Linked DNA regions of Macaca fascicularis. The protein of the gene in region 1 interacts with the protein of each later gene in a pairwise test. Links are inferred from orthologs where the notes say so. Each region holds a gene or a part of one and is shown in the gene's direction. Other genes may lie near its edges.

Region 1 (3,826 bases):
GGGTTTCACCGTGTTAGCCAGGATGGTCTCGATCTCCTGACCTCGTGATCCTCCCGTCTCGGCCTCCCAAAGTGCTGGGATTACAGGCTTGAGCCACCGCGCCCGGCTAAGACTTTGTTTCTAAATAAACAGAACAAAACATATGCCTCCAGAAAAGTAGTGAACACCTTCAAATGTGGAAAACAGATCTACATTTATTCTAGCAATGTGTTCCTCACTGAGAATGGCTTGAACTCCTTGGTAACTGAGCTCGGAAAGAGAGGCGCCTTCCAATGAATATGCTCATTGGTAGCAGATTTTTGCCCCTTTTAGGATAGATTTTCTTGTCAGAAACAGCTAGTGAATGAATAAGCCAGGAAATAACATTTGAGTCCCAAGGGAGATGTGGTTAAGGCTGATTTATGTGTAATTCATAAATTCTCTTGAGATATTACTGAAAGAAGAATTCCAAAAATCTTTGAGGAAATGTCATGTTGGAAGTCCAGACCTTTTCAAACAGCCAGTGCTCCTTTAGGTGTCTGTGTTCCAAGACATTTGTGAAATAGAAAAAATTGTTTTAAGCTACACTTCAAATTGGCTCTTTTTTCAAAGAGGAGGCTGTCTGAGCATATAAACCCTCTGTAACAGCGACTCTGTACAGAGTTCCTCATTCGGGAGTCCTTGTATAGTGTCTTCGTGCATATAATACTAATACTGCTCTAACAGAATGTCACAGACCGGGCAATTTATAATGAACAGATATTTATTTGGCTCTTGGTTCTAAAGGCTGGGAAGTCCAAGATCAAGGAGTTGCATCTGGTTGTTTGTTTGTTGTTTGTTTGTTTGATTTGGGGACATGGTTTCATTCTGTCACCCATGCCAGGGTACAGTGGCAAGCTCATGGCTCACTGAAGCCTTCACCTCCCAGGCTCAAGCAATCCTCCCCCCTCAGCCTCCCCAGTAGTTGGTACTACAGGCATGTGCCACCATGCCTGGCTAACTTGTTGATTGTTTCTGGTGGTAACATGGTTTCACCATATTGTCCAGGCTGGTCTCAAACTCCTGGGCTCAAGCGATCCTCCTACCTCAACCTCCCAAAGTGCCAGGATTTCAGGCATGAACCACCATGCCCAGCCTAGTGAGGGTCTTCTTACTGTGTCCTCCCAGAGTGGAAGGGCAAAGAGAGGGCAAGGGAGAGCAAAAGAGAAAATGTGCAGCTTTAAGCCATTTTTATTTATATATTTATTTATTTTGAGATAGAGGGTCTCACTTTGTTGCCCAAGTTTGAGTGCAGTGGCATGATTACAGCTTAAGCAATCCTACCATCTCAGACCCCCAAGTAGCTGGGATTACAGGAGCACACCACCATGCCTGGCTAATATTTTTTATTTTTAGTAGAGATGAGGTCTCACTATGTTGCCCAGGCTGGTCTTGAACTCCTGATCTCAAGCAATCCTCCCTCCCCAGCTTCCCAAAGTGCTGGGATTAAAGGCGTGAGCCACGGAACCCAGCCTCAAGCTCTTATAATTGCCATTAATCCAGCTCCCATTAGGCCCCACCTCCCAACACTGTTGTATTGGGGATTCAGTTTCTAGCACATGCTTTTTGGGGAACACATGTACACCATAGCAAGTAGCTTAGAGGATGCCATTTATCTAGGCCTGGGCCACACAGCACAGCCACTGAGCCTGACCCATCACCCCACTGCAAATAGGGAAGAGTGAAGCATGATTTTAAACTTGGCTTCTATGAAATTGCATCATTTCCGCCTCTGGTTTTGTCTCTACAGAACCTGGAGGACTAATTTACCCAAAGGAGCCTGTGCCCTTTTACTGACCTCCGTGGATCACGATCGGGCTCCTGTGGTGGGTGTGAGGGTTAATGTACTCTTGTCCAGGTATTTGATTGAACCCTGTGGGCCAGGAAAATCCAAGCTCACCTACATGTGCAGAGCTGACTTAAGGTATGTTCTGATTCTGATTTTTTTAATACGGTGAGGGTCATGAAGGAAATTCAGACTTTTTGTTTAATGCAAAGAATGCCCTAAATGAACACATCATTGTTTCCTGGTGACTTCATGAAGAGTGGTGTTTATACAGTAGCATTTCATGTTTGTTGGTCTTCCAGCGACCGCTTCCTAATTTGGATCCCTTAGAAAATGTAGTTCTAAAGCAAAGCAAATACGGTAGCTTGGCCATGAATTCAAAGCCACAGGAAGTGATAGATTTTATGCATTTGAACTAGCAAACAGACGTTTGTCATTTTATTTCCATGCTTTCTAACTTAAATGATTCATCTGCTTTTCTTTCTTTTCTCTGATAGGGGCCACATGCCAGAGTGGTACACAAAATCTTTTGGACATTTGTGTGCAGCTGAAGTTGTAAAGATCCGGGATTCCTTCAGTAACCAGAACACTGAAACCAAAGACACCAAATCTAGGTGATCACTGAAGCAAAGCAACCGCTTCCACCACCAGGGTGTTTGTTTCTAGAACCTTTGCCAGTCCTTGAAGAATGGGTTCTGTGTCTAATCCTGAAACAAAGAAAACTACGTGCTGGAGTGTAGGAATTGACTATAGCAATTTGATACATTTTTAAAGCTGCTTCCTGTTTGTTGAGGGTCTGTATTCATAGACCTTGACTGGAATATGTAAGACTGTGCAAAAAAAATGTATTTGTATTCTTATTCAAATTGCTTCTGAGAAGCAAAACTCTTTAGATACATTATGGAAGATAATGAAGATACTTCATTCTCTCGTGATATCGGTGTATGCGTACCTGTGTCGCTTTATTTGCAGTGTGCTGAGGGACTGGTGTATCCACTGGAATAGCTGGTACTCTTTGACGTGTTTTCTCACCAAGATGAGCAAAGAAAGGTTTGCACAGAGGAGTGTGAATGTGTGTTTGTTGCTGGCTGAATGGCAATAGATGTCTAAGATGGATTCAGTGTCTGGCACACTGAGACACCTCCAAGAAGGAGATTGATGCGTCAGGTTCAGTTTAACCTGGAATATCTGACTACCCGTGAATCCACCCAGAAAGGGGACCCGACACCCTTGTCCGTTTATGCTTTGTTGTTTTTTTTTTCCAAGTTACTAAGCGTATTCCTTCTCCACCAACCTCTTTTGTACTTTGATTGAATATAGATTGGCTCTGACACCCATTTCAAATGCAGTTTCTTTGTAGACCTGATTGCAAATAGTGATGTAGTTTTAACCAGTATGGATTAGTTCAGGGATGAACTGCTCCCTCCGGCCTTACTGGCTGTGATCCACAGGGTTTTGTTTTGTTTAAGTTGAGATGTAAAAACTGAACGTGATAACACTTACTCTTAAATCAAGCATCAAAACGTTTTCCCTGTTAGAATTCTTTGCATTTTTGTGTTTGTAACAGAAACGCTTTAGGACACTATGTTTGGGAATATAGGAAACTGTGTGGCCCAAGGAAATCCCTGTAAATTTAACCCGCCTAGGAAAGGCTTTTTCCCCCGCCTTTGGTTGTTAACGGCATTCCCGAAAGCCACATGTGTTTATTAATTGGGTTTGTTCTTATCAATAGGTTTTCTGGTTTTATGACCTTTTGTCTTATTTTATTTTTCCTACATTTCTTTCTTTTTTTTCCTTTAGAATGCCCTTGAAATATATTTAAGTGGTAATGAAAAATAGGAATCATAGTAAAAAACAACAAGAAAACCAACTCAAACCAGTGAAGTTTTTTAGAAGGGTGGTCTTTATTCAGGTTTTACTGGAATGGTAAGGATTGACTCAAGAGACAGTATTAGTAAATTTATTTTGTATGGATCAAAAGTGAATAATGTATGAATGAGAGTTGTAAGAAGGATTTTTATT
Region 2 (3,771 bases), on another chromosome or scaffold:
AGTGCAGTTCCTACTTATATGCATATCAACTTAGACAAACTACAGAAGCTTAATAATGAAATTTCATCTAGGAATTTTAAGTATAGGCTGCATTTAATCCAGATTAGCAGTTAACCTACACTATTTGGCATATGTTCTATATTTCAGATATAAAGCTAATTGTTAGGAAGCCACATCCCCCGACCCTTATTTTTAGAATAGCAATAATATTTTACCACATCTGTCATGCTATGGAAAAAAATAGAATCTGGCTTAAATGTGAATACAAAGGTTACAGAGTCTATATTTTACCATCATTAATGCTGAATTTTATATTTCAATAAGAATCTTCAGAATTTTAAGAAATTTGAGAATTAAAAAAAATTAATATACTCAATTAGAATATTTTCACATGAGACTATAAAGATTTGTATTTCTAACAAAAAATTAGCCGGGCATGGTGGCAGGCACCTGTAATCCTAGCTACTTGGGAGGCTGAGGCAGGAGAATCACTTGAACCCGGGAGAAGGAGGTTGCAGTGAGCCGAGATCATGCCATCACACTCCAGCCTGGGCAACAAGAGCGAAACTCTGTCTCAAAAAATTAAAAAAAAAAAAAAGATTTGTATTTCTAAATGCAATTTTACAATTCCCTTAAAGAACGTACCTGAACTTCCGGACACTACAGAACATTCTAGAACGGACCTGTCCCGTGATTTGGCAGCACTGCATGAGATTTGTGTGGCTCATTCAGATGAACTTCGAACGCTCAGTAATGAGCGTGGTGCACAGCAGGTAGGCTTTTGCCAGCCTTCATTAACAATGATGTTTCAAGGATAACACTTTGAGAGGTGGTAAATAACTGAATTCTGGTTAACATTTTTTCTTGTTACATTAAATTTTTGAGACTCTGCATCATATTAACAAAAGATCTCAGCAGACAGAAATAACGGGCCCAGACTAAAATGATGTACATTTAATACTGAAAAACATCAGGTTTTGCTCTTGAGTCTGCATCTTAATTCTACTGGAAAGCAGTGTAACTGTTAACATACTTTGGCGACGTATGTGAAAATGGCTAGTAAGTCAGTATTGATTTTTTTTTTCTTTCAGTTTCTGTCTCTTCTCTGTCACATACAGATACAGTGCATGGCCAAAGTGATTCTCAAATTGTGAAACAAATGATTATTATTTGGGATGTTTGTCAAATTCACATCCAGAGATTCTGAAGTGTGGCCTTGAAAGCTGCACATCTAGCAAACTCTTCCAGGAATTTATAGGGATTCTGATGCAAGTGAACCATGGCCTACACTTTTGAGAAACAGTAGACTACATTGATAGACTTTTCTATCTGCCATCTGCACCAAACAGATACAGATTAGGATGTATTCAAAGAGACTTAACACCAGGTCAATTAAGATACTGGAGATACAGAACAAAACGGGTTACATTTTCAATGTCCTCAGCTGACATAAGGGCCACTGAGAAGAAGTGACCACAGGGACAGTTTTGACTAGTTTCTAATGTAGTTTCAGGAGATAGTGAATGCTGTCACCGCACTGGCTAACCATTTGGCAGGGATTTTGTAGAAGGGATTAAAGCATTGAATTTGGTGACTGAGTTCTCTACAATCTGAGATTCTAGAATCCTCAAGTCCTGTTCCTCCGAGCCCCCCACCCCCCAGCTTTCAAAGCTAATAATATGACTTGCCTTAAATATTAAATTAAAAGACCTTTAAAGAGAGGTAAACTGCTTCTGGCAAAATGTGATAGTGATAGTTCTGGCCTAAAAAACAGGAGCATGCCAAACACAAATTTCTGTTCACTATATATAAAAATTCTCTTAGTTATGACCAGAAATACTCAGCCAATGACTGAATAATAGAAACTTATGTTTTGAGTGGAATTGTGCTAATATTTTATGCATCCCTTTGCTTTGATATGGCTTTTTTCAAATCCAGGTTCCCATCCTGAAATTGCTGACCGAGCTTTCATTTATTTTCATACCATTTTTCCTCTGTCTAGCACGTACTGAAAAAGCTTCTGGCTATAACAGAACTGCTTCAACAAAAACAAAACCAGTATACAAAAACCAATGATGTCAGGTAGCAGCCTTCGCCCCAGTGTTCTGCATGGATTCATCATGCCCAACATGGTAATTCACTTCAGTATAATATCTCCTTTGCTCTTGCCAAAAAATAGCACACTTTTCCACATTCCAATGATGTGTGAGCTATGCAAACAAAATCCAAGATTCTGCTAGTGCATAACTATGCCAGCAACCTTGTAAGCTATCTGTGCAGGATATTTGCACTATTTCCACATGGAATCAATCTTTAACAACCTCTGAGCCTTGGTGTACAGATCACCTTTCACAAAACAAAATGCTATGACTGTATCTTGAACTTTGAAAATATATTTTCAGTACACCCAGTTGCCAAAGTTTTGCTCTCTCTTAGAGAAAGAACTATGAAATCAACTGACACATTCTCTTATTGACAATTGTGTATAACTGGATTGCAGACTGTTCTTACTGTAACTACTTCCTGATTAGGAATATGACCATTTGACTGTTCAATGATTATTTGTATTTACAGTTTCCAGAGTTTGTCATTATAATAGGAACAATCTTTGCTGTATACTTTTAAAAAATACTGTGCTATTTCTCTTGCTGGAACTGTTGAAAGAAAATATATAGAATGATCTATTGCTCATCAGCTTTATTTTTTAAACATACTACTTATTTTGTTGAAATTGTCAAAGACTGTATTTAGATCTCATAATGCTTTGTTAAATGTTTACAACAGTAAATAGTTTGAATTCAGTAAATATTATTGGTTGTTGTATTGATCAATGCATGTTACCCCTTCATTTCATAGACTACCAGTTTCTTTTATGTTAACTAGAATGTTTTTGTTAAAAGTTATTTGTTCATTATTTGTGCTACCCTACCCCTTTGATTATGCAGACAAACCTCATCAGCTGCCTAACTTATCCATCTTTGAACTTCTGACTACTTGTTGTATCTGCTGGACATTTAGTTCAACTGTATAGTTTTATTTACTTCTGTATGTGTATTTTTGTGAAGTATTCACAAAGGTTAAGTTAAAATAAAACCAAGGGATATCTTGCATAATTGATTACTTCTGTCTAAATAGAGCTAAGCATTTAATTTATTTTCTTCCTCCTTCAGGGGCAGTTTAAACCTTAGCACCAGAGCAAGGCCCAGGGAGAAGCTGAAGCTTTAGATCAGTATTTTTGCTAATGGCCTCTTTTGAAAAGGATTCTATATATGCAGCAATTCCTTCCATCTCATAATTGTGCAGGGCAGGTATGACATATGGAACATATGTGGCAGAATGACATTGGTAATAAAAGTGGGTGAGACAGGAACCCAAGGAGGTGTTCTTACAGTAAGGAAAGGCCTAGATTCCAAGAGCAACACTTTATGCTGTTCCTCTAATGTATAAAATACAGGAAAAAAAAATGCTAAAGGTTTAAAAGATGTCTGCTTAACAGTTTCAAGCTACAAAAGGCAATTATTTCTATGGGGGCTGCTAACCTCTGTGGCTTCAATCACAGTTTAACATTGATACCAAAAATCTCAACATGTCCCGTGCTCCTTTTCCTTGAAATCAACTCAATTCATTCCATTCTCTCCCTTCCTGGCTTTTTTATCAAATTACTCTCCTTTCCATCCCTTCTGTTTTATAGCTGGACTTGGAACAACCCAGGTGGTCTCCTTCCTTAGTTACATGATAGAAGACAGGGAGGATATGGACTAGTCAAGATAT

Evidence for each region.
Region 2: the proteins of DLC1 (region 1) and RASA1 interact in binary tests that used the Homo sapiens proteins (3 or more experiments, as listed by UniProt). The link is inferred for Macaca fascicularis from reciprocal best matches to the Homo sapiens genes DLC1 and RASA1.

Annotation. Positions count from the first base shown.
Region 1 is NC_088382.1:16,033,992-16,037,817, reverse strand, and holds part of DLC1 (rho GTPase-activating protein 7), read left to right. Parts: intron 1-1,768; coding exon 1,769-1,942; intron 1,943-2,301; coding exon 2,302-2,422; 3' UTR 2,423-3,826. UniProt on the Homo sapiens protein: Functions as a GTPase-activating protein for the small GTPases RHOA, RHOB, RHOC and CDC42, terminating their downstream signaling.
Region 2 is NC_088380.1:91,374,422-91,378,192, forward strand, and holds the end of RASA1 (ras GTPase-activating protein 1), read left to right. Parts: intron 1-450; exon of another isoform or gene 451-569; intron 570-638; coding exon 639-773; intron 774-2,002; coding exon 2,003-2,086; 3' UTR 2,087-3,110; downstream 3,111-3,771. UniProt on the Homo sapiens protein: Inhibitory regulator of the Ras-cyclic AMP pathway. Stimulates the GTPase of normal but not oncogenic Ras p21; this stimulation may be further increased in the presence of NCK1.